Linked DNA regions of Ovis aries. The protein of the gene in region 1 interacts with the protein of each later gene in a pairwise test. Links are inferred from orthologs where the notes say so. Each region holds a gene or a part of one and is shown in the gene's direction. Other genes may lie near its edges.

The links.
Region 2: the proteins of L3MBTL3 (region 1) and PLEKHF1 interact in binary tests that used the Homo sapiens proteins (3 or more experiments, as listed by UniProt). The two-hybrid records come from large-scale screens. The link is inferred for Ovis aries from reciprocal best matches to the Homo sapiens genes L3MBTL3 and PLEKHF1.
Region 3: the proteins of L3MBTL3 (region 1) and PLEKHF2 interact in binary tests that used the Homo sapiens proteins (3 or more experiments, as listed by UniProt). The two-hybrid records come from large-scale screens. The link is inferred for Ovis aries from reciprocal best matches to the Homo sapiens genes L3MBTL3 and PLEKHF2.
Region 4: the proteins of L3MBTL3 (region 1) and PRKAA2 interact in binary tests that used the Homo sapiens proteins (3 or more experiments, as listed by UniProt). The two-hybrid records come from large-scale screens. The link is inferred for Ovis aries from reciprocal best matches to the Homo sapiens genes L3MBTL3 and PRKAA2.
Region 5: the proteins of L3MBTL3 (region 1) and NGB interact in binary tests that used the Homo sapiens proteins (3 or more experiments, as listed by UniProt). The two-hybrid records come from large-scale screens. The link is inferred for Ovis aries from reciprocal best matches to the Homo sapiens genes L3MBTL3 and NGB.
Region 6: the proteins of L3MBTL3 (region 1) and TTC19 interact in binary tests that used the Homo sapiens proteins (3 or more experiments, as listed by UniProt). The two-hybrid records come from large-scale screens. The link is inferred for Ovis aries from reciprocal best matches to the Homo sapiens genes L3MBTL3 and TTC19.
Region 7: the proteins of L3MBTL3 (region 1) and MORF4L2 interact in binary tests that used the Homo sapiens proteins (3 or more experiments, as listed by UniProt). The two-hybrid records come from large-scale screens. The link is inferred for Ovis aries from reciprocal best matches to the Homo sapiens genes L3MBTL3 and MORF4L2.

What each region holds. Positions count from the first base shown.
Region 1 is NC_056061.1:55,685,155-55,688,654, forward strand, and holds part of L3MBTL3 (lethal(3)malignant brain tumor-like protein 3), read left to right. Parts: intron 1-1,012; coding exon 1,013-1,097; intron 1,098-2,699; coding exon 2,700-2,791; intron 2,792-3,500. UniProt on the Homo sapiens protein: Is a negative regulator of Notch target genes expression, required for RBPJ-mediated transcriptional repression. It recruits KDM1A to Notch-responsive elements and promotes KDM1A-mediated H3K4me demethylation.
Region 2 is NC_056067.1:39,781,579-39,785,808, forward strand, and holds the start of PLEKHF1 (pleckstrin homology domain-containing family F member 1), read left to right. Parts: upstream 1-1,430; 5' UTR 1,431-1,568; exon of another isoform or gene 1,569-4,230. UniProt on the Homo sapiens protein: May induce apoptosis through the lysosomal-mitochondrial pathway. Translocates to the lysosome initiating the permeabilization of lysosomal membrane (LMP) and resulting in the release of CTSD and CTSL to the cytoplasm.
Region 3 is NC_056062.1:82,115,588-82,119,542, reverse strand, and holds the start of PLEKHF2 (pleckstrin homology domain-containing family F member 2), read left to right. Parts: upstream 1-1,155; 5' UTR 1,156-1,427; intron 1,428-3,955. UniProt on the Homo sapiens protein: May play a role in early endosome fusion upstream of RAB5, hence regulating receptor trafficking and fluid-phase transport. Enhances cellular sensitivity to TNF-induced apoptosis.
Region 4 is NC_056054.1:31,181,423-31,185,510, forward strand, and holds the start of PRKAA2 (5'-AMP-activated protein kinase catalytic subunit alpha-2), read left to right. Parts: upstream 1-1,288; 5' UTR 1,289-1,330; coding exon 1,331-1,424; intron 1,425-4,088. UniProt on the Homo sapiens protein: Catalytic subunit of AMP-activated protein kinase (AMPK), an energy sensor protein kinase that plays a key role in regulating cellular energy metabolism.
Region 5 is NC_056060.1:86,628,937-86,632,953, reverse strand, and holds the start of NGB (neuroglobin), read left to right. Parts: upstream 1-1,217; 5' UTR 1,218-1,473; coding exon 1,474-1,562; intron 1,563-2,979; coding exon 2,980-3,091; intron 3,092-3,690; coding exon 3,691-3,810; intron 3,811-4,017. UniProt on the Homo sapiens protein: Monomeric globin with a bis-histidyl six-coordinate heme-iron atom through which it can bind dioxygen, carbon monoxide and nitric oxide.
Region 6 is NC_056064.1:33,235,627-33,239,610, reverse strand, and holds the start of TTC19 (tetratricopeptide repeat protein 19, mitochondrial), read left to right. Parts: upstream 1-1,184; 5' UTR 1,185-1,234; coding exon 1,235-1,403; intron 1,404-1,482; coding exon 1,483-1,595; intron 1,596-2,910; coding exon 2,911-3,021; intron 3,022-3,447; coding exon 3,448-3,486; intron 3,487-3,984. Other genes in the region: ZSWIM7 (zinc finger SWIM domain-containing protein 7), read right to left, coding at 986-1,076. UniProt on the Homo sapiens protein: Required for the preservation of the structural and functional integrity of mitochondrial respiratory complex III by allowing the physiological turnover of the Rieske protein UQCRFS1.
Region 7 is NC_056080.1:129,270,832-129,274,854, reverse strand, and holds the start of MORF4L2 (mortality factor 4-like protein 2), read left to right. Parts: upstream 1-1,223; 5' UTR 1,224-1,282; intron 1,283-2,538; exon of another isoform or gene 2,539-2,610; intron 2,611-4,013; 5' UTR 4,014-4,023. UniProt on the Homo sapiens protein: Component of the NuA4 histone acetyltransferase complex which is involved in transcriptional activation of select genes principally by acetylation of nucleosomal histone H4 and H2A.

The sequences.
Region 1 (3,500 bases):
GGAATTGTTTGGGGAAAAGACCATAATGTAAAAACATGTGTAAGCACGCTTTGTTTTAGGAAATAAGACAAGGTTGCTGAGCCTTGAAGGCTAGAGAAGAGTGGAGTAAAATGAGACTGAAGAGTTCTCTGCAGTCCAGGGCTTTATGGTAAACCAGAGTCATGAGTTGTCACTTTACTCTGAGTGTGCTGGGAAGCCATTGGAAAGTAGAGGGCAAGGGGAATACTTTGATATGATGTTTTAAAATGATCACTCCAGCTTTGACATGTGAGAACAGAGTAGAATCAGGGAAACCAGCTGGAAGTTTATTGTAGTAGACTAAATAAGAGGGCTGTTTAAGATAGAGGGCAGTGGTTTTGAGACAGTTGGCAGGGTATATGAGGGAGCAAGAAGAATGAGAGATAGCTCCGAGCTTTTTGGCTTGAACTGTTGACTGGAATCATACCACTTCTTGAGAATGGGAAGGCCAGAGTGGAGTATAGAACTTACAGTACTTTGGCCGTCATGCATTTGAGATGCTCATTAGATGTCCAAGCGAAAATCCCAGGTAGGCATCTGGATACATGAGTATGGAGTCAGAGCTCGAGATATAAATAGGGGATATTTAGCAGACAGATGATCTTTCAAACCTAAGGAGAGTGATTGGATAAAGAAGAGAAGGGGATTAGATGGCAGGAGATGTCAGCAAAGGGACCAAGAAAGAGGGGCGGTGAGGTACCAGGGGACCCAGACCAGAGAGGTCAAGGAGCTGAAAGAAGAAAGCTTTTCAAAGAGGTGGGAACAGTATCTGTGCTATAACAGAGTGTAATTCTTGGAAATATTCTTATTTTGTAAGGACCTCAGGCCAAGAGCAACAGAGTTCTCAAGTGACCTATATTCTTACTTTCTTTCAAAGTTATGAAGTGAAACTGAAGAACAGTGCAAAAAAAGGCTTTCTGACAGCTCTCTAACTTTTCATTGATGCCAATTTCATGAACTTTTAAAAATCGTAAACTTTTCTGCCTTATTGTAGGAAAACAAACAAGATGGGAGAATTCTGAGGGGTTCACAGAGAGCCCGAAGGAAAAGACGAGGTGATTCAGCTGTATTAAAGCAGGGTGAGTTGATGCAAGGAAGGTTTTACTTGTAATTTTCTGAAGTTGAAAATATTTCACACAGGCAGACATTTTAGTCTTAATTGTAATGCACACTATGGCCGTTAAAGGATCGTTTGGGGATTTTCTTTGATTAAATTGTGTCAATAAAAGTTGGAGTTTAGAAGAAGTAGAAAAAGGCGAAGGGAAAGTGGAAATTAGCAAGTTTCAAGCAGTGTCAGGGAAAACTTGAGATCATTTTCTGTTATTTATTTTTCCACCAGGTAGGTTTCTTTTACTTCTGCACTTTGACTAAAACCTCTGGTCTTACTCATTTCATAAAATTTTAGATTTTTTTTAAATGTTTTCTCTCAACCATAACTTCCTGACAGGGTACCCTTTTTTCCTTTCTTTATTTCTCGAGGAACACTTTATTCTCTGAGGAATCTAGAGCTTAGGCTCTGCCCTTCAGTACTTGGTGGGCTAACTTGCTGCCTTATTCATCCTGCACCTTGGGTTGTCTCCCCAGAAGCTTCTGTGTGCCCCGCTAGGCTGTGTCGAAGGACCTGCCACATCTACACGGCTGGTCTTCCATGTTAGGTCACTGTACTTTGCACAGTCCCATCCTGACCTGCCAATCACATTGTCCCTGTGAATCAGGGCCTGAACTCAGCGCTTCTCTTCAGGGCTTAACCACATCCCTCCCTTGTTCGTCTCTTAAAAACACTTTGAGGTGTTTCTACTTGCATCAAACACACAGCCTAACTTCTGCATTCGGATGGCCTTCTGTATTCCATCACTGACATTAAAGGGAGCAAAGTCTCAGTTGCTCTGCACTTTGCCTCTTTGTCCTTTCTGTCCCTTCCCCTTCATTGCTGCTACCCTCGGGGCTCTGGCCCTTCAGTGGCCTTGTTGCTTCAGTCATTTCCCTCTCTCAGCTCTTCCATTTTCTTCCTCTTCATGTGCTTTATTATTGCCTGTTCTAAGCTCATCTCCAAATATCTTTCCCTCAATTTTAAAACACATCAAGCCTAACATTATATATCCTTTCTTCATTTTTTGTTAAATTAACCCCAAATAAAATTGCTATAGACTCCGTATCTTTATCATTTATGTGTTCTTTTGCAACTTAAAATTTGGCCTTGGATGCATTGATTTTTTTTTTACCCCCCTTTCTCCAAGTTAGCAGCCAGTCCCTAAGTTACTCTGTGCACTGACCTTTTCTCAGTTCTCAGCTTCTTGATTCATTAGGAAAAAACTTTGGAGCATCCTGCTCCTAGACACTTTCACTTGCTGAGCTTCCATGATTCTGGTCTATCTTGGCTTCCTACTGCGTCTCCTTTATTTACTTTAGTACTTTACTTTAAGTACTTTAAGTTTTTAAAAGTACTTTAAGTTCTCCTGTTCCTTTCTTCTACACTCATTCCTGGATATACACATAGTTTACTTTTTAGCTCTCATTTCTTCAGAAGAGGAGTCAGGGAAAGAAATTGAGAAATATCCATCATGGAAGTAAGAGAAGAGCCAGGCCTGGGGGTAGTTAGAAAGTAAGAGTTCACAGTAAGTATCCTGCTCTGATTTCCTAGATTGGGAAATTCGGTCAGTTTAGTCTCACTTGCCTTTCAGGTTTGCCTCCTAAAGGAAAGAAAGCTTGGTGCTGGGCGTCCTACCTGGAAGAGGAGAAAGCTGTGGCCGTGCCGGCAAAGCTGTTCAAGGAGGTACCCACCCTTCTAGAAGGCATTGTGCATAAGGGCAAAGGAGCTGGAATGCTGGTCTGGGATTAGTATTGCCGTTTCTACTGTCTGTCTAGGAAATGTGACTTGGGATAAGTTTTCAAACATTGTTTTTCATATGTGGAGGGGGACCTTGGAGGGTAACTATCATCATATATGCACACCTTCCCTAGGGCCACATGCATGGGCACACAACACACATACAAATACAGACCTACAGACAGACGCTGTTTTCCGTCAACAATTGTTAGGCTTTCATGCATTGATTTGCAGAAGGATGCTTCTATTACTACTGAAAAACTAGTAGATAAAGAAAAACTAGCCTAAAATGTCATGGCTTTGAGAGAATAAAAATGACTTACTAAGGTTTGCATAATATTACAGAACATAAAAAAAACATTGTTATATTAACCACAGTAAAAATCTTTTATCAGAAGTGCGTTAAGATCAGAAAAGTAGCTCTGAGTAGGAACTGCTGTCACTGGGCTAAACCAGGGATCAGCAAACTTTTTCCATAAAGGGCAATAGAAAATCTTGTAGGCTTTCTGGAGTATATGGTCTCATTTATAAGAGCTTAACTCTGTTCTTGTAATGAAAGCAGCCATAGGCAATGTATAAATGAATGAACATGGCTAATATTCCAGTAGAATTTAATTCACAAAAACAGTGGTTGGCTAGTGTGTCCCATAGATTG
Region 2 (4,230 bases), on another chromosome or scaffold:
TGGCCCTCTTACTTCCCCATCAATCACCTCCACTTCCCCTCTTTCTCTTAGCCTCTCCCTGCTCTCTCGTCCCCTCACTCCAACCCCTTCCCCTGTGGGAATGTGCCCATGTCCTGGCCCCACTCCACTCCGGCTGGCAAAGGCAGATCCCCAGCACTGGGCCCCACCTCACAGCCTCTGCCCACACCACCCAGGAGAGCAGGTCAACCCCCTATCAGCTCATGCCTCCAGCACCAGCCCTCCAGGCCCCAGCCCTGGGCAGAGTCTGAGGTCTGGACCCAGGCACCTGGAGCTTCCTCCTGCGTTGGTCCTGGCCCAGCGGGCACTGCCCTGGCCTGCGCCAGCCCCTCTTCACAGTTACCCCGCTCTGCCCTATTTGGCAAGGCAAACTCATCCGTGCCACAGACATTTACTAAAGGCTGAACTCCGCTCTCAGCACTGGAGAAAGGAATGAACAAGATGGGTAGAGCTCAGCCACAGGGCTCACAGTCTAGGTGGGGCAGACAAGCTATGAACATGTAAACAAGCGACCTAATTGGATGACTTCAGGTTGGGAGATGTGGTTTACAAAATAACAAAACGGGAGTGAGGCAGATGAGGGTGACCTCAGAGGTCAGGGAAGCCTCTGAGGAGGTGACAGTTTGAGTTGGATCTCAATGCCAAAAATGCAGCCATGAGAAGATCTGGCGGCAAAAAGGAAGTGCAAAGGCCCAGAGGTGAGAACAACCTTGGGGTTTTGAGGAACAGGAAGAAGCAGCTGGTGTGAAACGAAGTGTTGAGGGAGGCCAGAAGGAGGTTAAGACAACCCCCCAGGAGTGATGACTCTGAGGCTTGGACTTGCATTTCAGCTCAGTGTTGCGGAGTGGGTGGGGGAGGGTGGAGAAAGAGGGCAAAACTGGTAGATAATGTTGGAGTTAGGCGATGGATACATGGAGTCCATTAGCCTATTTCCTTCAGCATATGTTTGAAAGTTTCCACTATACAAGTTTAAAATATAAAACATAAAATGCTAAAGAATTTTAATATTATGATTATCAATCTCTCGATTGCTGAGACAGGACTATGCCAGCCAGCAGCAGGGAGTCCCACCAGCGGCGGCGGAAGGCACAGTAATGCCACCGCCTCCCTCCCCAACCCCTTCCCTGGCCCGAAGGCCCCAGTTGGGTGAGTTCGAAGTCTTCTGTGGGTCCGGCGTGCGGAGCGCGGTGGCGGAAAGGGAGACTGGGGGGCTTGAGTCTGGGTTGCCAGTCCCGGGAGAGAGCGACAAGGAAGCCCCCCGCCCGCACCGCCTGCAGCGCCAACACACCCAAACGCACTCCGCTCGGGAAGCTCACATTTCTCTGGAACTCCGACTCCGAGAGTTGGCGTCCAGGCTCCGCCCCCGCCTCGCGCCCAGGCCCCGATAGGCGGAGCCGCCGGGGTAGGGGGGCGTGTCCAGGAGAGTTGGAACGCGGCGGCTTGGGCGGCGGGGGTTGGCCCCCTCCGCAAGCGGAACGCGGCAGCCGAGTGCGGTCTGTCTGGCCGGCTGCCTGGTGGGGCGCGAGACGCGAGGGCCCCCGGCTGAGGAGGTAAGGGTCACCAGCCAGGCCGGGGCGCCCGGAGCAGGCGGGCTCCCTGCCGACTGCCTCCCAGCTACCCCGGGCTCCTAGTCTAGGTGGCCCCTGGACTCGGGCGGGGCGGTCGCGAGGCCGGTGCCATCTCGGACTCTGGCCCTGAGCAAAGGCACGGACCAAGGCGCTTATTGCTGGCTGGTGGGGCTGGAGGAGGGGCGGGGGGCTGCTAGGAGCTCCAAGGACAGCGGGGTGAAAACAGGTATGGGGGTCTCCGAAGTCCAGGCAGGGTGCCCGGGGGGGATGCACGAAGTGAGAGCAGAACGGTCTGGAGACGCCTGTGGACGTTGAAGCCCGGGACAGCAAGGATCTCAGCGCTCCTGCTGTCTGGGGAGGGTTCGGGGATTCCTGACTCACGCCATCGTGGGGGCCGCCACTCTTGGTCCCAGTCTGCAGGGTGTGGAGCAGTGGGCAGGGATAGTTTGGCCCAGGGAAGCGGGGAGGAGAGGCAGGGTGGTAGCGCTTTCCGGGTTGCCTGGGTGCTCGCTGGCCCTTAAAGCCTCTGAGTTTGTGACTTTTGGTGGCAGTTGTCAAAGGAAACAAGGCCAGGCTTAATCTCCAATTTCACAGAGGAAGTAGTGAGGCTGACCCAGAAAGAGGTGGCAGTTCCCAGCCTGGAATCACCCGGAATCTCCTTCCCTTTCTCTCTCCCTGAACACCTGAAGGGCTGTGCAGGGGAGAGTTGTCATCCAGCCACTTTTTCAGATAGGAAAGTGGATTCCCTGAGTCACTTTGTAACTTGATCAGGGATATGTTCGTTTGGAATTTGAACAGCATTGTTATCTCACCACCAGGGAGGTCAGAAGCCAGGGAAGAGGGGAGGATGATTGCTGGCGAATTTCCACTCAATGCTGGCATGTTCCTGGGCCTGCAGTTTCCACTGGGGTTGTCTCTGACTTCAGTCTGTGTCCCTGCAGACATCAGCCCCCAGGGCTGCCAGGATGGGCAACTGAGGCAGCCCAGCTGAGCTAAGGGACTTGCGCAGCCCAGCCCGCTACAAGAAAGGAAGGGACTGGGCAGCTCAGCCAAGCTAATGGACATGCCCAGGCCACCCCTTGACCTGGGTGGAGAGGGTTGAGGGTTGGAGATCAGGCATTTGGAGAGGAGCCCTGCCCTCTGAATCTGAGGATTTCGGATTCTGTCTTCAGCAGCTCATGGTTGTCTTGGAGCTGGGACGTTGGGCAGTGACTTTGGATGATGGAGGTGGCACCTTCCCCCATGGGGCTTTTGTGAAGAGTCGGCATGATAATACTTGCAATGTGCTTACCGTTGTGCCTGTAAGCTGTAAGCTCTCAGTTAATGGCACCCCTGGTTTATTTTCCTTATTACTATTCTTTTCATGGAGGAGGGCTTTCCAGGAAGCACAGAACTGGACAAGCCTGAGGGGTGGCCCCTCTGGAAGGAAAGGACAGTTGGATTGTGCTTGGAGAGAAACTCAGATCCTCATCTTGGCCTGCGGACCTGCAAGACTGGCTCCTACAGCACCTTTAACCTTACCTGTTACTCCTCCTGTCTCCATAGTCAGGTCTTTGAGCTGTTCCCTCAGCCCAGAACTTTTTCCCCCTCAGGCCTTTGCATGGCTAAAATCCTTCACATTCAGGCTGGTGCAGGGTCACTTCCTCACCAGGCCTTTCCTGACTACCACCCTCACCCTAGCCTTGCTCAGCACATCAGCCCTTTTCTTTGTGGCATTCACAGTCAGAAATCACCGTGTTGATTTATTGATACTTTCTAGTCTGGCTGTTGCACCAGGCTGTGTGATACTGAAAGGTCTGGTCCCTAGCTCCCGGCTGTAACCTGGTGCCTAGTCCTGCCTAGTAGAACTGTGCCAGGCACACAGTAGGACTTTAGTAAATATTTAGAAGGTAAAATCAGGTAGGCATGAAGACAATGTGGGCCAGGTTGGGACTGGAGGGAATGAAGGTCAGGTGGTAAATCAGCCCTGTCCTAAGGGGAAGCCAAGGGGTAGTCCAAAGGGCCAACACCCTGACTCCCTCTGTGACCTTGGCCAGGTAACATCCTCTCCGATAAGCAATGTCCCCAACTGTAACTCTTAATGGGAGGGTGGACCTGAGTGCCCCACCCAGGTCCTACTATACAGGGTTCCCAGGTTGGGGCCCCAGACAGCTCTTTGAATCTCAAAGGCTGTGTCCAAGTGGAGGAGACTAGCTCCATCAAGACATGGCCCCATGTCAGGTGTGTCCCTGGAGCAGGCACATTATGCATTTGACACTGTGTGGGGGGGTATAGATCAGGGCTCTGCACACTTTTTCTGTGAAGGGCCAAATGGTAAATACTCTAGGCTTTGCAGGCCAATCACTGTTGCATATGGCTATGTTCCAATAAATTGTTTTTAGAAAAGCTGGCAGTGGTTCGGACCTGGTGTAGATTTGCTGCCTCTGGTGTAGGTCACGTGTGACACCTCAACTGTCGGGCATAGAACCCTGGCCACCCAGTGACACCTGGAGCATGGCTTACTCACTGAGAGAGCCGTTGGCCTAATTCAGATGGTGGGATCCCTGGTGTTCAGGAAGGCCAGCCCTGGAGCCTGCCCCACTTCAAAAACATGCAAGAAAGAGCTGGCCTGTTTACTTCTTTGCTCCCAGACACTGGCCCTTCA
Region 3 (3,955 bases), on another chromosome or scaffold:
TCCTTGCCAGGTTTGTTTTAGCCACCAATTTTTTTAAAAAAATTTTGTTTCTGACATATTCAAACAGAACAGGATGGCAGGTGGAAGATCTGGGGAGGACAAATCCCAGACCAAAAGAAAGTTGGTTGGAAACAAGACCTGCTTTATGTTCCCTAGGTGGGTGCTCTTTCATGTGGCGTGGGTTCTGATGGCTACAATCAAAGGTAAAAAAAAAAGTTACTATTTCAAAGAAAAGAAAAAACAAAAAAAATGAAGAAAACATATAAAAGAAAAAGAGGTATTTTTTCAAAATCTTGTAATAGATCAGCGGGAAAGATAAAATTTACTCAAATCTAATTTCTGCCTATTCACTTTTTGTTTGAAGTGAATATGCAGTCTTCCTCACCCCTCACCAGGCCCACAGTCCTTATCTACCTTAGGCATCTTTTACGTCTCCACGGACCCACCAGCACACTTTGCTGCGGTATAAATGAAGGGGCACGTTCAACCTTATATACCATCATCACTGTTTCCAGGTGTGTGAAGTACGTTTGTGGTATCACAGAAAATTTGGGGAAAGACCAGAATTCTAAGTCAGGGAATAAACGCATCACTTAAAAGGCTGTGCGGAGTATGCGGGGTATGTTTTGCCGCCGTCGTTTCCTGTGTTTCAAGCGGTAGGATTTTTAGGGCAAGCAAGTGGAACACGTGAGGGGGCAGGATCGGGCGCGCTAAGAGGATGTAGCAAACACGTCTAGCCGGACGCCTTGGGCAGCTAAATCCAAAGCTTTCATTTCCCGGTCGCGGAAAGTTCCTGAATTCCCCGCAGAGGCCCGTTCGGGGTGAGAGGAAAGGGGCCCAGCCCTCCTTCCATTTTTATAGCGTCGTTAAGCACTTCCCTAGGAGGTGAACTGTCCTTTCAGAGGGCTCGCCTGCGCCAGGCAGCCCAGGTAAAAGACGTCGCACGTGTAGCCAATCCACGTCAGGGCGCGCGCCCTCAACTCCGAGCAGAGGAGCCAATCCCGAGCCCCAGCCTCCCAGGCGGGTGTGGCCTCCGCGTTGGCCCCGCCCCCTCGGGCCCGGCGCGCGGGACGGCCCGGGCGGGGCGAGAGAGCAGGCCAGAAAGGGTGGGGAGCGAGCGCTGGGGGTGTGATCGCGCCCGCGCCCGCGCCCGGCGTGTGGGTGGCGGCGCGCTTCTGCGCGCGCGCGCAGGGGAGAGGCCAGCCCCGGCGGCCGTTGTGGGCTTCGACTGGAGGGGCGGGAGGGTCACCTGCGAGCGTCTGCGACGCCCGCCCGCCCGCCCGCCGCGTCCGGATCGCGCCGGCTGCGCGGGGCCGCTGGCTGCACACCCTGCGAAGCTGGGGCGGGAGGCAAGGAGAGTCCGCGCGCGGCGCCCGGGAAGAGGAGAAGTCGGACCTTCGCCGCTGCGGCCGTCCGCGCCCGGCTGGGTAGGTGAACCCCGGGCTTGGTCGTCGGGCGGCCCCCCGGAGGGCCGGGAGAAGAGAAGCGAAACTTTCCCTGCGCTTCCCCGCCGCGGTCCCCGGGCCGTCGGCGGCGCGGGGAGGTGTCGTCGTCTCGGGCGGCGGCGGCGGCGGCGGCGGCGGCCGACGCCATGTTGGGGTCTGTGAGAAACGGGGCGCTCCCGGGCGGCTCCCCGCTCCCTAAGGGGCCGCGGCCGCCCGCCGGAGGGCTCGCGGGCCGCAGGGAGGGCCGCGCGGGTGGTTGTCCGGCCCGCGGGGAGGGGGACCCCGAGGTCCGGCGAGAAGTTGTGAGGGCGTGAAGACGGGTGTCCGTCGTCGCCACTGGCGTCTTGGGGTGCCAGCATCTTTCTGTCCAGAAAGTTTGAAGGGTCTGGGCATCAGAGACCTTGTAACTTGAGCAGCGTCTTTTTATGGGGTTTGAGGCAAAAAATTTAAAAAAAAATGGCACCGCACGATTTGCCCTGATAGAAGGGCTGAGTCTGACGCCTTACTTATTTGGAGTCTTTTAAAGTCGTATGCCAAAGTTTTTCTTTAACATATTTGTTGGGAGGCCGACAGCTTGCTGTTCATGCGACTTGAATACCCGGTGCGCTCTTACTACGTTGTAATAGTAACTTGGGAGTGTGCGGTGAAAAGAACGAGCAGTATGAAGGTTACAGACAACCAAGCTCTTCTCTGTAATTCATAGACTCGATTTGTTGATTTTTTAGTGCGTTACTGAAGAAATTCAGCTAAGAAAGCCAGGACCGTTCACTGAGAGAAAGGCATGTGTTGTTCCCTTAAGAATAAGGTGAAGTGATCTTGACATTGTGAAGTTTTCCCCCTCCGTTTGGTTCTATAAAGGTGCATGCCTACCGTGTTCTGAGCATTTACATTTTTCTGTACTCCGGTAGCTCATGGGGTCCTCGGGTTAATTCAGTATTAACGAAGGCTTCTGTTTTTAATCTCTTCGGGTCCTCCCAGCATTGGAGGTGAATGGTATTAAGTTACGTATTTGGAAAGCACATGTAATCGCCTCAAAAAATAAAACTGGTGCACTGACCAAGGCATCAAAAAAGATTCAGCTTGAATCAGCCCAGTAAATGAATGTCAATTACTAGTTTTAATAAAGGCATCTGGGCTTCCAAATTTCTGTTAATTGTATTGAGAGCATTCTTAATCACAAACAAGATAAATACTTCAACATGTCTTGGAGAATTTCTCTTCTTAATCTGTAGGTAAAAATAGAACTTCTGCTCAGATTTGATTGCTAATATTCTTAGTTTTTTTTTTTTTTTTCAAGTGTAAGGTGATTGCCATTATACATATGTTTTTCTGGATGAAAAGTTACCCAGAATAGAGGTGATTTAACTAATGTCACAAATCTAGCGAACAACTTGGTAGTTAACTGAGGTCTTATAACTGAAACCTTCTCATTTTTCTTAACTTTGCAGGATACTTAAATCATTCCCGTGGAGCAGTTTCTGTCCATTTTGTTTTCTCCGTCCTAGCTTCTCTTTCTGATTTTAATTTAGTTCCTTAGTGAGTGTGTGTGTATTTCCTAGGAATTTCCCTCATTTCCAAGGTTTTATGTACTGAGAGTTTTCCTCTTAAAAATACTCAGCCTATGCTCTTGAAAACTTTTTTGCACAGTTCTCCTTATCTCACTCCCTTTTCTCCCCAAGAATAAGTCACTTATCTATCCAGATGCATCCCAGTAAATATTACATTTTTCTGCCATGGCACTTCCTCAACAGAAAGCATTACATGAGCTCTGATTTGCCTCTTCATCCTCAGGGTGCTGAGAACATGATGCTCAGAAAAGGCTTGAATGGATGAATACACATACACTTTTTGTAAATATACTTCATGAATTTCTTTTTAAGTTGCATTTCTAAGAGTGAAAGTAGTTAGATCTTTTCTAATTGCCCCTCCCCCCCCGTCCTTTTTTTTTGAGATTTTACCTTAGTAACTCAACTAATTTTGGGCCAGGGGTACAGAACTTGAATGTTTATGAAATTTCCAAGTAGATATAATCAAAGAAGCAGCAGCAGTGGATCAGCAAAAAGATAGTAATCATACTTTTAAAGTGCAACTGTATTTAGTGTTTGCACTGGGTAGAAATAGTTAATGCCTTAAAATTTTGAAGATCATGTTTATACATTTAAGTTATTTGATGGAACACCCTAATTTCTCTTGTCACTTACTGTTTTGCTAGAATTGTCTTAGAATTTCGTTTTAGAACATCTTGCTTATTGGAAAACGTAAACATTGCTTTTCTATTTATGAATTTATCTTTGGAACCAGCTTTGTACACCAGCTGCGTGCTTAATAGCAAGGTGTATGTTGGCTTAAGTGAATAAAATGTACTCCGTAGATACACTCTCACAGTGCTATTTTAAATTGCAAACCCTCCCTAGGTGGTGGTCTGTAATTCTGTAATGAAATTACTGTAAAATTTGGGGTTAATTCCTTGTTCCCATAATTTTCTCTCCATTCAACCCATAAATCACAAA
Region 4 (4,088 bases), on another chromosome or scaffold:
ATTTTTAAGCACTGACAGGCAACACTGGAAACTAGGAGACTGAAGGAAGGAAAGAAGAAAGGAGAGGAGAAGGGAGGGCGGGAGGAGTAATCACTGTACTTACTGTATCTTGGCAGTTTTTAAGGCTCTGCCTGCTTCTAGTTTCCTCTTGCCGTTTCCTCACTCCCCCTTCAATCTTTACCTTTAATTTGTGCCCTTACATTGCCCTTGTCCCTTAGGTAGCTTACTCCCCAAGCTCACTACGTTCAGTTTCCCGCTTCAGTTTCTTCCACTATTTCCCTCTTGTGCAGCTCTATCACAATTTCTTTGCTATATATACTTGATTAGTTGTGTCTAACTCTTTTGCGACCCCATGGACTGCAGCCCGCCAGGCTTCTCTGTCTATGGGAATTCCCAGGCAACACTATCGGAGTGGATTGCCATTTCCTTTTCCCTGGGATCTTCTCAACCCAGGGATCAAACCCTTGTCTCCTAGGCGGATTCTTTACCACTGAGCCTCCTAGAAAGCCCATATATTTATATGTCTAAAATACAGTTGAGCAAATATTGGGACTGATTGGTGAACTTTGTGCAAATTAGTTAGAACGGAGAGCTCTAGAGAGGGTATCTCCTCCATAACTGAGAATTAGACAGAACGTAGAGGAGAATCAGTGAAGCCAGCAGAGTTGGCTTTTTTTGTTTGTGCCCTGGTGACCTGTATGAAAACAGTGCGTGACTCCAAAAGCTTCCTTGTGACTCTCCTCCGACTGACCTTCGATCAAGGCCCTTCCCCACTGCCGCCAGCCCTGACTTCCCTCGGACCCACACACTGCTTTTCACGCCCCTCTCTCCCCACACTTCAGGCCTGTTTCTCTTCCCCAGGTTCTATTAATACTTCCATTGCTTTCCACTCGCCAAGATTCGGCCCAAATCTCACCCTCTCATTCGCACCGTCAGGTTCTGCTAGAGGGCCCCTTAACCCGGCTCCCACCCCAGGGCCCCTCCTCCAGGTAGCGAGGCGACATCCTTCCCCCTCCCCGCTCCGCGCACACCTGTCGGCCTCCGACCTCCCCCGCACCGAGCGCCCACGCTCCCTCCACTGCGCCCCCAGGGCCCTGGCCCCGGGCCCACGCCGGCCTCACGCCCGCCCAGGGGCCTCGGCGCGCCCCCGCCCCTGCCCCCCACCTGCTCGCGTCCCCCCTCCCCCCGCCCCGCCCCGCCCCGCCCCGTCTCGCCTGGTCCCCAAGTCTCGGGCCCCCGCCCCCCGCGGGCCCGCTGCACTGTGGGTAGGCGGCGGCGGTGGCCGCGCAGAGGATCCCGCGGCGGCGGAGCGAGGCTGCGCGCGCCGAACATGGCTGAGAAGCAGAAGCACGACGGGCGGGTGAAGATCGGCCACTACGTGCTGGGCGACACGCTGGGCGTCGGCACCTTCGGCAAAGTGAAGAGTTGAGTACGCCGCGCCTCGCGGGAGGCCGAGCCCCGGAGTCCGGGTGTGCCGGGCCGCGAGCGGGCAGCGGGTGGCGGGGCCTGGCGGCAGGTGGAGCGGCCGCGCCCGGGCCGCGCGGAACCTGGGGACCGAGGGAAGGCAGTGGGTACCGCTTCGCCCCGCGGCAACGGCGGCGTCCCGGCGAGGGGGCTCGGGCGGGGGCGTCGCGAGGTCCTGGGACTGGCGTCCAGCACGCTTCTACTGCCCGACCTTAGTGCCCCCCTCTGAAACCCGGAGATTGGGTTGTTGGGCGAGATGCCTTTCAGCTGGGAGGCTGCAAGGACCCTGAGGAATGACCCACGGTCCTGATGGTGGAGTTCCCATTTCGTGCCAGGTGTCCCGTTAGGTGCTTCACGTGTGATCTCCTGTAATCCTTACAGCAGCTGCAGGTGTTATCTTCGCCTGTAACGTGAGAAAACGGGGACCCCCTAGCAGGGACGTGTTCAAGGTCACACTGAAATTGGCAGAACTGGGATAAAGGTCTAAAATGTCCTCCAATTTTGGCCAGGCTGGGAAGTCCTGCTGTCTGGATTCTTTCGTGCTCCCTGACTCTGGATTAGTAGGGCTGGTAGTTTACGGGGGATCCCCGGGGCGCGAGGTGGGTGGGTCTTTCTGCTGGCCTTGGGAAACGCTGGGATGTACCTGGGTTGGGTCAGGGCTTAGAACTGGGAGGTCTGAAGGTTGCTTGTGTGTGTAAAATGGTTCTAGGAAGGCTTCCAGGATGGAGGGAAAGGAAAAAGGGACTTTGGAGTTGGATCTTGAGGATGTAGGGCTGAGGCCAGAATTGCTAAGACGTACTCTGCTGAGCTCTGTGTTCCTAAGTGATGGGATCCCATTTTGGGTGTAGAAAAACAGGCTGCTTTGATTTTTTTTTTTTTTTTTTTTTACTGGTTACTAGTTAAGTATTGAACTTTCCTGTTTTTCTTAAGAGTCATGTGAGATTAATTAACTTGTCCTCTCTCCAGAACTAGAACCAACTTATTAAAAATACTTCTTTTGGTTGTTGCTTTTTTCTTTTTTCATTTTGCTGAGAAAATGTTGGGTAGGCAGCTTGAGGATTTTATTGAGGCCTCTATTTCCTTAAAAAATCATAATGAAAAAATTTTAAGTTTTAAAAATTATAGTAAATTACAATTTTGTGTTAGTTTCTTCTCTATGACATTGTGAATCAGCTGTAAGTATACATGTATTCCCTCCTTCTTGAGCCTCCCTCCCACTCTGCTAGGTCATCACAGAACGCTCAGCCGTTCTCTGTGCCATACCTTAGCTTCCCACTAGCTAGCTGTTTTACACATGGTAGTGTAGAGATCAATACTACTCTTCCACTTCGTCCAAAAATCCTATTTTAACCTTGAATCCAGGCTGTAAGTGGATAGAAGAGACTCGTTCATTCATATGGTAGGGATCAGCTTTTATTTACTTGCACACATCTGATACCCTTTCTTTTGTTCAGTAAACACTTACTGAGTGCCTACAGTGTGCCAGGCACTGTTCTAGGTAATGGGGACACCCTAGGAACAAAATCATTAAAATCTTTCCTTTTGTGGTGCTTATATTCAAGTAGGGGAAGACAGTAATCACTGTATATATTTGTGTGTGTGTGTGTGTGTGTGTGTGTGTAGTATTTTTAGTGCTGTGAAGACAAGTGAATCGGAGTTTTGTGCAGTTCACAGTTTTCAGTAAGATTGTCAGGCATGGCCTTACAGATAGGGTGTATGTTTATATAAAGACCTCAGGTTTGTAAAATTCTTTCAAGTCCTGTGAGGGCTGTGAAGTCCTTCCTGGCTTAGGTTTGCAAGACCTCATAAAGTGGTAAGTGGAGAGAATATATTTAGAGTGAATATATGAAGATTCAGGAACTGGATTAATGCTGTGACATTACTAAGGACTATTGTGTTTTGATGTTACGCACTCAAGTCTTCACCATCTAGGCATGTACACTTTCCAAGTTATATAATGTATACTGTTCCTTTTCAAATTGCATTAAAAATTGTTGTTTTTAAAAAAATTATTGTGTAACCTGAATATTGGCTAAAATACCCATCAGATAGATCATTTGGTCCATTGTCACAGGACAACTTAAATCTCTTTTTGTATATATCCTTGAACTGACCTAAAATATAAACCAACAGAAGGTACTTGGATTTATGAGAAATCCTTTTCCTGGAAGACTCCTTCCCAGTGAGCAGCTAACTGGGGAGATTTCCTAACACTGTATGAACACCTCTCCAAAGTTAGTGCTCTCCCATCCAAAGTTAGGATTAGTACAGTTGCTTAATAAAAATTATATAAGTGCAGCAGTCTAAAGTTACTCATTTACAGTGGACCCTTGAACACCATGAGTCTGAACTGCAGAGATCTACTTTTACAACAGATAATTTTTTTCCTCTAAATAAATACTACAGTATTATACAGTCAAGGTTGGTTGAATCCTAAAATGTGAAACCATGAATACTGCGGGAGGAATATAAGGTTATACACAAGTTTTCAACTTCCTGGGGTCCAGTGCCTCTAACTCCAGTGTTGTTCAAGGGTCCACTGTAATTCTTTAAGGGACTACAAACAAAAGCACGCTTATTTTTAAACACAACTTTTTTTCAAGCATATTTAAGATATCCTAAAA
Region 5 (4,017 bases), on another chromosome or scaffold:
CCAATATAATTTCTAATCAACCCACTACACTATACTAATAATTTTCTAACTTCTCAAAAGAGTCTGTATTTAGAAAGTTTTAAAGCATCTCGTGCCTCTCACAGTTGGGAGGCTGTAAACAATCACATGTGGATGGACGAACCCGCTCAGGCAGGCTAGAGAACCTTCAGAGGAGTTTGTAAGTTGAAACACTCTTGTCATGCCCAGGAATTTTTGTTTAACTGGAGCTGCAAGTTAACTCCTTCTCCGAGAGAAATGGTGATGGGGAGAGCCCCCTGTAAAGTCAGAGGTGTAGGTGAGAGCATAAAACAGTAAAGTAGGCAGACTCTGGTTTCGGGGGTAGATGCTCGGGAACAGGGGGTTTCCTGAGGCTCAATCCCGCCTTTGCATATGCCAAAGCCTCCTTCCTCATGACCTTTGCCATGGGCGGAGTTCCTCACGCTGGCTCCCGGCACCCCCTCAATTGTCCACGCAGTGGAGTTGCTCACCATTGCTGCACCTGAGACCCCACCCCCGGCCAAGCACAGCTGGGGTTAGAACCAGAGCTGACAGATTTCTAAGGAGCCTCAAGAAAACGCAGGCCTGGCTGGACACGGCGGTGGTCTTGGCCCTGTCCCTAAAGCTGAGCACCCTGGTGGCCCCTGAGTGTGCCAGGGTGCTTCAGTCAGTAACCAGAGCTAGGGCAGACCCTGCCCTACCCTTCACGGCCCTCCCCCAGCTGCGCCTTGTCACACAGGCAGGCACCCTGGCCTTCTTCCACCCTCCCCTCGGGGCAGCAGGAAGGAGACATGGTGCCAGGGGTCGGATGCCTCCAGGCAGCGTTTGCGTGGGGTAGCGGAGAGGCGAGCAGCTCCAGCTCCCTGCCCTAACTGCTGCTGCTGCTGCTGCTAAGTCGCTTCAGTTGTGTCCAACTCTGTGCGACCGCATAGACGGCAGCCCACCAGGCTCCCCCGTCCCTGGGATTCTCTAGGCAAGAATACTGGAGTGGGTTGCCATTTCCTTCTCCTTGCCCTAACTAGTAAGTGGTAAAATTGTCACCGGATGAGAAACCGAGTTCCCCAGAGGCTCGGCGATTTCCGTGAAGCTCTGAAGCCCTGTCCTTTCCCAAGCCGCCAAGTCCGCGGCCAGAGTCGGTCGCCCGGAGATGCGTGTCTACCCGGACGGAGAGGGGCGGGGGCCGCGGCGGCTTTAAAAAGCCCCAGGCGGGCGGCGAGGGCGGGGCGCAAGGCATAGCGGCCGGGAGCGGGGGTTCCCTGGAAGCGCCGGGCCGGCGGGGGCGCCTCCACCTGGGCGGGGAAGGAGCGGTGGCTGGACCATCCGCGCTCTCCCCATCCCCGCGGCGCCCCGGCCGAGGCGCGGGGGCCGTAGGAGGTGCCGAGTGGCCGCGTCTCCGCGGAGATGGCGCGGCACGTGCGGTGACGGTGCCCGCGCCCCGAGGGTCCCAGCCCTGTGCCCCGCGTCCCCGGGGCGAGCATGGAGCGCCCGGAGCCCGAGCTGATCCGGCAGAGCTGGCGGGCGGTGAGCCGCAGCCCGCTGGAGCATGGCACCGTCCTGTTCGCCAGGTGAGGGCGGCCAGAGCGTACCCGGGGGTGCGGGGAGCGGGGTGGCTCTCCAGGAATGAGTCGGAGGCGGCCGAGCTGGCGCCGGAGAAGCGGGGCGCGGCGACCAGTGGCGCAGCCCCTGCGGCTCTTCCCGCGGCGGCCGCGGCGCGTCTGGGCGAGCGCACACACTCCGCTCCCAGCGAGGCTCTCTGGGCGCCGGCCAGGGTCCTCTCCCGCCGCCCGTCTCCCTATACTCCGGGCCCTGCGCTGCGCCCCCTCCCCGGCCGTGTGCCTCCTGAGTTTTCTTTCCTTGGGTGATGACTGCAGGGGTGCCCACCGCTGCCCCTATGGAGAGATACCGGGGTGTCCCAAGGGCCTGCGTGGGAAGGCTGTACTGGGCGCCTGGTCCGCAGGGCACGGGGTCTGGGCCCCGGAAGTGTGCGCTTCCAGCAGTCAACTTCAGGATAAAGCTTTCCGAGGAAATGACAGGCTAGGACCTGAGATCCTCCAGGGAAGGGAGGACAGATGCCCAATTCTCACCACCAGAGAGAGAGGGGCGAAGAAGTGTGCAGACCCCAGAGGGGAGGGGAGGCTGCCTTCAAGATCAGCTTGAGGGTGTCTAGGTAGCCCCTCTGCCCTCACCAAGAAGACATGCCCCCTCACCATGGTTTTTCAGGAGCCTTGGCTCCTTTAAGCCAGCCCAGAACTTCTGAAGAGGTTTTTGTAAAGCCTCCCCCTCGCAAACAAAAAGGGACTAAATTTCCAGTCTCAGGCCTCCCAGATAAGGATGAGAGCTTATACTTGGGCCTCTCAGCTTTCCCCAAACCCAGTCTTTTCTCTGGCGCCCTCTGGCCATGCTGCTCCCAAGCTGTGTGATCTGAGACACATGACTCAACCTCCCAGGGCTTCTGTTTCCTCGTCTATAAAACTGGATAACAGTTACACCCACTGTTTAGGATTGTGAGGGGATACCTGAGTAAACCACGTGCAAGGTACTCAATGCTCAGAAAGTGTTAGGACTTCTGAATACTAATTATTATTGTTGCTGGGCCAAGCGCCTTTGGCCAGGATGGGACTGGGGGGTTCTGATCCAAGAATGGGAGGGAGGGGAGGAGAAGGAGACAGACGGCAGGAGGGGAGTCCCCACCACAGACTCCGGGTTTCCTGTCTGAGGACCCCTGCCTGTCCCAGCCCACACTCCTCCACGGTTTATGGGAGGGGCTTCCCTATGAGGCCTGGGGAACACATGTTTTCCACGATGCAGAAGAGGTAAGAGGGGCCAGCGGCAAAGCTGGCCAAGCGGTGTGTGCCAGGCTGAGGGTGAGCTGGAGTTTACAGCCCAGGCTCTGCGCACCTTCCTCTGCTGCAGGGCAGCCAGGGCCCGTGGAGCCTGGAGGGGCGACCCCCTCCAGGGCTGACACCGGGACTCCCCATGCAGGCTGTTTGACCTGGAGCCAGACCTGCTGCCCCTCTTCCAGTACAACTGCCGCCAGTTCTCCAGCCCAGAGGACTGCCTGTCTTCCCCCGAGTTCCTGGACCACATCAGGAAGGTGAGGAGAGGTGGAGGGCCTTCCTGGGGGAGAACAGGAGAGGGAGAACCCAGGGTGGGAGAATTCCTTTGGCGTCCTTCCCCAGCCCTGGGCTGTGCCCCTTCTGCTCCCTCCTGTCGGAGGCATTTGCTACTTTCCCTCTGTGCTGAACTGGGCAGAGTTGGGGCACCCGGTCGGCCAGCTGCTCCCAGCTCTGCCCTTTGCCCTCGGCCTCATCCCTTGGCTCCTGTAGGTGGTGTTTGTGCTGATCCATCAGGGACCATCCCCCTGTAAAACCAAGCTGGGGTTTCCTTAGAGGCTGGTGGCTCTTGCAGGGTCTCAGGAGGCCATCCCAGGAGGATAATACTGTTCAACAGGTGTGTCTAGGGCTTTGAGCCCCTCAGCAGAAGGCAGCTTCCTTCATGGCCTAACGTTAGTAGTCTGGCTACCATAATGTGAGCACCCCCAGTAGGCAGACACAGGCTGCCTTTTGTCTCTGATCCCAGATAAGCAAGGGTCTTCCCTTCCTTCTGGTTGGGACCCCCCGGTTCTGGACTGGTTGTGAGCAGGGGCAGGGAGTTGCTCTGATCTCCATTTCACTGCGACCTTGATCTTGGCAGGTGATGCTGGTGATCGATGCTGCAGTGACCAATGTGGAGGACCTGTCCTCCCTGGAGGAGTACCTGGCCGGCCTGGGCCGGAAGCACCGGGCAGTGGGCGTGAAGCTCAGCTCCTTCTCGGTGGGTAAAGGGGCCCTTTCTCTCTCCAAAGCTCCTGGCCTGAGGCTACCACCCTCTCCCAGGCCCCTCCTATCCACCTGTTCATCTCTCCCTCTCCTAAACCTTCAGGTGACTGCATTGTTAGGTACTTGCTGTGTGACCCTGTCACTGCCTTGACCTCTCTGAGCCTCCAATTTTTCTTCTCTGGTATGGTTTCTCTTGGAACCC
Region 6 (3,984 bases), on another chromosome or scaffold:
GCTGGCAGATTCCTTACCATCTGAGCTAAAAGGAAGTTATTGAATTAGGGATAAACATATAGAAAAGTAAACAACCAAACAAATGCAATCATGACAGTTTTGAGAGGAAGCAAAAAGTTACAGTAAAGAAGTAGTCATCACTTACTACATGGCTCAGCTGTGACTATATTTTACATCATATAAGTGTAAACTCAGAATACTGATCTAAAGAAAATTATCGTCGAAGGAGGGGGCTCAGGAAGAGTGTATGACTGTCTAAGAACAAAGATTTTTAACTAGAAGAAAATGGCTCTGAAAAACGTGAATCGGTGATAGTAGTCTCTATGAGCCCCAAGCCTCAGGGGCGCCCCCTTCAAGACTCTCACACTGTGCTCTTCACACACAACCCTTTCTGGCAACCACTGTTTGAGCTGTCAACAGACTGGTTTCTCCCCCAAGCTTTTTGGGATTAGAGGATGTTCGAATACCTGGCTCGCCTCATCTTTTAAGCACATGTACTGCTTTAGATTTAACTGAAATGAGAAAAGTTGGCTTCCTCCTCTCAATTCTTTAAAAAACAAGTCAAGGTAAATCCTTTTCAAAGTGCGGTCCTTTGCAAACAAACGCCGCCCAAGTGAACCAGCAAGGTTCACTGAAGCCTAACCGATGTTTTGGATGGTCATTCAGATGGCGGCGGTGGCGCCAGCTCTAACGGGGACGCGCTCTGGCCCCGTGCGCTTGCGGCCAGGGGAGTCTGGTCACAGAGCGTCCTCTGCTGGTCAGAGGAATAAAGGCACAGCCACAGCGTCCAGACCCCTCAAGTCCTGCATCTGGGGCCCTGAAACAGTCACTCGTGCACAGAGGTCAGGAGGGGAACCTTTTGGAACAAACACAGACCGCGGGAAGGAAGGGCTACAGGCGAGTTAAGAGGGCGGAGACCTCCCCAGTGGGCCCGGACCCCCGAACCCCGTCCCGCCGGCGCTGCTTCCCGCGCCCCCGCCCATACTCGGCGCGCCGTCCCGCACAGCCGCCGCCATCTCGCTCAGCAGCTCCTCCACCACAGCTGGTAACGTGAGAGGCCCAGTCGGAGCCGCCATGGCGGTCCCGCGTTCTCCGGGGCAGGGGAGGAAGGCGAGGTGACGTAGACTTGCGTCCCGGCGCATGCGGGCGGTCCGGCCAATCGGCGGGCGTTCGGCGCCAGGGGCGGGACTTCCGGAGCCCGTGGCCGCAGTGCGCAGAGGACGCTCTGGGGGCCATGTACCGGCGTCTGGCTGTGGGCCTGGCCCGAGGTCTGTTGCGGGTGGCGGAACGGCGGGGCCGCTGCTACCCGGTGTGCCTGCTGCCCGGGCCGCCGGGAGTTCGGGCGCCGCCGTGCCGAGGGGCGCCGCGCGGCCGAGGCTCGGGCCTACTGCCGCTGCTGGCAGGTGAGGGGTGCAGGCCGGCGGGCCGGGCGGGCCGGGCTGGTTGGGCTGAGCACGGTGACCTCAGTGCCCCTTCCTGCAGCGCTCGCCTGGTCCTCGAGGCCCGCGGCGGCGGAGCAGGAGCGACGGGGCGCGGGCGGGGCTGCAGCCGGGGACGCCGAAGCCGAGATCATCCAGCTGCTGAAGCGAGCCAAGGTGAGGGGCTGCAGCACGTCCCTCGACTACGGGGACCCGGGTGGACGGAGTCGTGGGGTCCGTGCGTTGGGCGCAGGTGGAGGCGGCGCTGCCGGTTGCGAGGTTGCGAGCGCGGGGAGAAGTGCGCACAGGCTGAGGGGAGCGAGGCGGGCCTCTTCTTCCTGAACGTTTTCCCCTCTTCCCGGGGTGCCGGGTCTCCTCCTTTGCGCTGACCGCCGCCTCATGCCCACCGCGTCCACCCGAGTGCCCGCACACGGCAGGTGCGGCCCGCATGCCAACTCTATTTGAGGCTTCAGCTGACCCAAACGAACCTGTGGTCTTAGGCACCCCTCCGACCCCTTCCCTCAGTACCTCTTCTTTTCTGTAGTCTGCCCCATTCTGAGAACTTGTGTGGTACCTACCTACCACCTCCCATATACCAAGAATCCAGCAACGAATTTTTGTATTTTGCCACCAAATCCAAAATCTCGAACCTGTCGCCTCTTCGGTGTCTCCTCCTGTCGCCCTGGCCACGCTGCCACAGCCTGCAGTCTTGTCTGCCCTGTTGCCCCCTGCCATCCAGGCTTGACAGCAACTGGATCATTTAAATGTAAATCAGCTGGTGTCATTCCGTGCCCACAAGCCTTGATTGACCCGTCACAGCGTTTGTGGTAGAACCCAGACTCCTTGCCCTGGCTGGTGAGACCTATGGTCCCACCCCATTGCCTCCCTACTTGGCAGTAACAGTCACCATCAGTTGACATCTGTTGACTTTCATTGTTTGAGTGGTTCTTGAAAGTCCGTTATCTTCAGTCTGTAGCACCTTCGCTCCTTCCCTGCTGTCTGTTTGGGTCAGTTTCCCCCATAGTTCCTTCCTTAGTTGGCTGTTTTTCTTTTTACCTCAATTTAACTGTCGCTTCCTTGGGCGGCTTCTCTTGACTCCATTTGAAGGAAACCCCTTGTTCCTTTCTCTTGCCTTTCTTCGCCTGTATCATTGGTTGTGATTGAGCCCCACCTGTCCTGCAGGAAGAGTGGAGGAGGATGTAGGGCCAGCAGCTCCGCTATAAGAGCTCGTGAAAAGTGCTCACAATCCTGCTGCCTATGTCAGCCAGTGTGCTATATCTGTGGCCATGCGGAGCTGCAGGGGAGCCCCTCTCCAGTCCCCACTGCAGACACCATGCCTTTGCAGAGCAGGGATTCAATAAGTGTTTGAGGAATGAATGACTAGCTTCCCTCTGTGTACTGGGACACGTAGCCCATACTCGCTTCTGTCTGGCGGTGCATGTCTCTGTTCTTTTCGTGTTTCAGTTTCTTTTATTTTGTTTTCTCTTTTCAGTTATGCATCATGAAAGATGAGCCAGAAGAGGCAGAGCTGATTTTGCATGATGCTCTTCATCTTGCCCACAAGAGTCACAACACGAAGGCCATTGCTTACACTTATGACTTGGTAACTCCTCTGACCAGTCTGAGCCGCCGCCAGTGGTGCAGGAGAAGGGCTGTTAGTGTTCCTGATTAGTATTCCTGACCTGCAGGATGTCTCTCTGGGTTTTGTTTTTACTAAGTTTTCTTTAGCTTTCCATTTTTATTACCCTTGAACTGTCACCTGTAAGAAACCTCAACCCCAGACCGAAAAGAAACAGTTAACATTAATATTTGTGTTCTCAGTGAAGAGTGGATCTAGAATTGTTATCATCAAAGTCTATGCACGTACTCTCACCCCATTGCTGAACTTTGCTTCTAGCAGATTAGCAACAGTTTCTGGACTGTTTTTTTAGATAGAAGGTGAAAGCAAAGGGGAGTTTTCAGTGTAAAGATTTTGAAGTAAGTGGAAACAATGCTTTAAACTGAAAAACAACTTATAATCTGCTTTCAGATGGCGAACTTAGCATTTATAAGGGGTCAGCTTGAAAATGTAAGTAAATCATGTTGTAATGTTGTGAATTTGTGAATGGCTAGCTTCAAGGGACCTCTGCACATAAGGGTACAGGCAAAGCTTCTGTAACAAAGAGACCCCAAGATAAAGTGACTGAAATAAGAAGGAAGCGTATCCCTTTAATGCATTAGTCCAGAGGCGGCTGAATCCTGAAGAGGGGTGGGCACTTCTACCCCATGAAGTGACCCAGGAGCCCACATTCCTTCTAAGATGTATTCTCGCCTGAGTACGAGCACTGGCTCACCTCCAGCTGTGGGCAGGGAGAGGATGGAGGGCCAGCAGCGTCCTTGTGAAGTACGCTGTTGAAGCTGTTTGTGTAAACTGCGTGCATCTCTTGGCCGCAGCCTCCTCATATGATTACACCTGAAATGCAAAGGAAGGACCCTTGACCTAGTGGAAACTGAGGAGACTGTACCAGAAAAGGGTAGTTTGCAGTCTCTGCCACAGTGGGTTTGGGTGGGAAGTTGATCTCTGAAG
Region 7 (4,023 bases), on another chromosome or scaffold:
GGAGGTGAGAATCTAAATTTCTGACAATTCCCCACCAGGTGGTGCTATTGGTGTGTCTGGAAAACACTTTGAGAACCTCTGCTCTAAATCCCACCCCTCCCCAAAGGGTGCACGTGTGTGCCCAGAAACACATATGCACACACACACAAACGTATGGAATCTATAACTGAAATAAGTATAACTTGTGTTGTTTGATTTTATTAGTATGCCTCTAACAAGGATTTTGTGAAGAATTAAAGAATATCATGTGATATGACACATCTAAAATATAGAAAGCATGCAAAAAAACAGGATCACAGAACATAAATCCCAGGTTCTCAGAACTAGTAAGTGGTGGAATCGGGCTCAAAATTAGGCCTCTAATTAGGCCTCTAAACTCCAAAAACATAATAAAGTTTCACAGTACTACTGCAGAAGACAGGGTGAAAACACAAATATCCGATCATAATTTCAAAAGTGAAAGATCAGTTTTCAATCCCAGGGTCCAAGCCCAGTGAAGACAAATGTCTGTACTGACCAGAAAACCACCTGTGTTTTCCCTGCAGCAGAGCAGGGGTCAGGGTGAGGTGGTAAAGCGGGGCAGGTGGCAGCATTTGAAAAGATCCTAACCCCACAGAAAGGGTTAGAATCTTCGTATCTTCATCGGCGTCAGTGCTTGGGGGTCATTCATCAAAAATCCCATGGACGGAGGAGCCTGGTGGGCTGCAGTCCATGGGGTCGCGAAGAGTCAGACACGACTGAGCGACTTCACTTTCACTTTTCACTTTCATGCATTGGAGAAGGAAATGCAACCCACTCCAGTGTGCTTGCCTGGAGAATCCCAGGGACGGGGGGAGCCTGGTGGGCTGCCGTCTATGGGGTCGCACAGAGTCAGACACGACTGAAGCGACTTAGCAGCAGCAGCAGCACCCCCAAAAAAGGCAAGAAGAAAGAGATGGGAGGGGGAATTTTTTTTTTAAGGAGGAAAGAAGTAAAGAAAGGAGGTAAACATTTGAATAGAGCCCTACCTGGTAGGGCTATTAATAAGTTAATTTGATTTTTCTCGAGAAATGAAAGATATATATGATCTTTATAGATTGGAAAGCTCAGCAAATCAGAAAAAAAAAAAAAAAAAGATGGGGGAATCCCATAATTCCAGGGACCAAACAGCCAATCCTTTGCTGGAATTTGGCGGCATCTAGTGGCAAACTCAAAAGGTATAAACCTCACACGGAGAACTTTCTGGAAAATTAGAGTGCATACTTGCGTTAAGAGCACTCTGCCTGGAAATCAGAACAAGCAGGTAAGAGAGCCTCAGCTCCCACAGAAATTCGGAGTCCCTAGTGGAGGGGAAGTCTGTCGTGTACAGATATTCTCAGCAAAATATTGTGGCAGAACTGGACGCAACTTGGGGGTGGGGGATGGACGGGGGAAGGAGCGGGGGTTGGGGGAAGACGGCTATTAGGGAACAGCAAAGCTGCTTTTTGGAACTGCTAGTAAGCGAATGGGGGATTTGGTTGTTAACCGCTGCTGGGCTACGGCTTAGAACGGGATTTTTGATTCGGAGATAGACGTGGGAAGAAAGTGTATTTTTAGGGTTTAAAATCAAATCGATAGGGGAGACCGAAGTATTTCTAGCGAAAATCCTTTATCTCAGTGATGGTCGCCATAACTTAATTGCTTAAATTTCCGTTTTATAAGAATAATTTTCAAACATAAGTAGAAAAATGATCCGCATAGAACGCGCGCGCTCACGCGCGCACACACGCGCACGCACCCGCCCCAGAACACACACCAGCCCCGACGCTAGGGGCGCACGCCTGCGCACACCAGCCACCTCCAGCGCCACGAGGCCTGGCGTTCGCGCACACGCCAACGCCAAGGCCACGCGGGCTCGCTTGCGCACAGGAGCCCTGACACCGCGCGCCCGCAGTACCCCCCACCCCCAACTCGCACACACATCAAAACCCCCAGTCAACCTTTATTTTTTTTTTTTCCTCCGGGAGTTGCGCAAGAGGTTCGGGGGCGTGGCCGCAGATTTGACCTAGCGCTTCCCCACTCGCGGGGACCTTAGCTCATTTCCGCCCATCCTGTTTCCGCAGGCCACGTAGACACTTCCTTTCCCAGTTGGGGGGGAACCCACAATGCCTCCCTGCAGGAAAAAAAAAAAAAAGAAAGAAACCTCTGGGCAGGGGAACTCTGGGTCGTGAAAGTGGGCCACGTGAACACTCTGCCCTATAGACTTATGACCCAACCGCTGTCGCGCTTTTGGAGGGCGGGCTGAAAACCTAAGAGGGCGAACGTCATTGGTCAGAGCCCTCACTAAAGGAGAAAGGTAATTGGTTTCCTTCAAGCCTTAACGGTGAAGAAGCAGGTTGCTAGCACCCGCCTTTACTGCGGCGGAGTGTCATTGCTGACGTGGTGAGCTTCATCCAATCATTTGGTTATAGAACATTCTAAAACTTAGATGAGACGATTGTGATTGGCTGTAGGGCATAAGCCCGCCTCCAGGGTGACGTGTCTGCCTATGGATATCAGTTGCCAGAGAAACCTGGCTTTACTATGGCGGTTGGAGAGTCGGCAGTGATCACACGTCGTCGTCTGTCGGAAAGAACTGGATCCTCGTTTCAGGTTTCGGGGTGGGGGTGGGGAGAAAGGGTTGACGATTTCCTCTTATCGTCGCGTATACAGACAAGATTAATTAATGGCTTTACTATCGGGCAGAACTAGATTCGAATTCCTACTCGCCAACGCCCAGCTTGGGCTGGCTGTTCTTTCTGTGTCTCGGTTTCCATGTTTGTAAAATGGTGATAATAATAGTATCTGTCTCAGAGACTTGTGCCTCAGAGGCGTGTGCTGTATATTAGAGCGTATAATATACGACTGCTAGGTAATGTAATACGTATAATAACTTAATACGCACCGTGGCTCCGGAAGACGTTAGCTATTACTGTGGAGAGAAAAACCCGCGTAATAGAGTGAGAAAAAACGTAAAATTATGTAAAGTCGTTCCTTACAGTGCTTTTCCTATCACCTCCTTCCGTAAAAGAAATTCGAGATACAAAAGAGACGTATCAGTCTTTACCAATGAAATAATTTATTTGACAATTACCTCAAAATAGCGGGGATTGGAATTTTCCGTATTGAAAAGTTAAAAAAAAAAGCGGGGGTGGGGAGAAACGGAGAATGAGGAATGAGAGCTAGCTGGAGATGAACCACATGCGATGAGTAGGCCTTGTTTGAATCCTGATTCGGGGAAATCAACTATAAAAAAATACTTAAAGGTGCATCAGGAAATTTTAAAGACGGATTCGACATTTGATTTTTTTTAAGGAATTAATGACGATGTTTTTAGACGTTGTAATGATACTGTGGTTATGTTTTCAAATTGCCTGTAGCTTACAGAAATATACGAAAATACGAATTAAACAATAAAAGCATTCAGACTGGCTTCAAAATACCTTGATGTCTAGGATTTGCTTCAGAATTAGCTCAGCGGTAAGGGGAGGTGGCGAGGGGCATAGATAAAACAAAATTGGCACTAAATGAATCGTTTAAGCTGAGTGATGAGCTTATGGGATTCCTTGTATTGTTCTAGCTTCCTTGGTATATGTTTGAATTTTTCCATAATAAAATACAGAAAGTCAGCTATTCAGTGCTCTTGAGAAAAACAAGAGTGGGGGGGGGGGCGGCGAGCAGTGGGTGGGGTTACAGATAAAACAAGATGGCCTTCAGTTGGTAATTGTTGAAGCTGGATGATAGATTCGCAAAGGTTTATATTATTCCCCTACATTTTTATCCATTTGAAATTATCCTTAATAAAACTTAGAAAAAAGCAAAAACAAATTATCGGAAATCATGATAAATGTACAATAAGGTAAATTTGAAAATGTAGCCACAAGAAAGGGGGAAAAATCTTGTACGTATTTTATCAGCTTTGGTGTCCTTTGTGTATGTTAAAATGCATTGGTGGAAAACAAAACGTTCATCTCATATCTTTATGTCCTTTGCTGTCCCCTTGTTTGACCTTCTAGACTACCATCA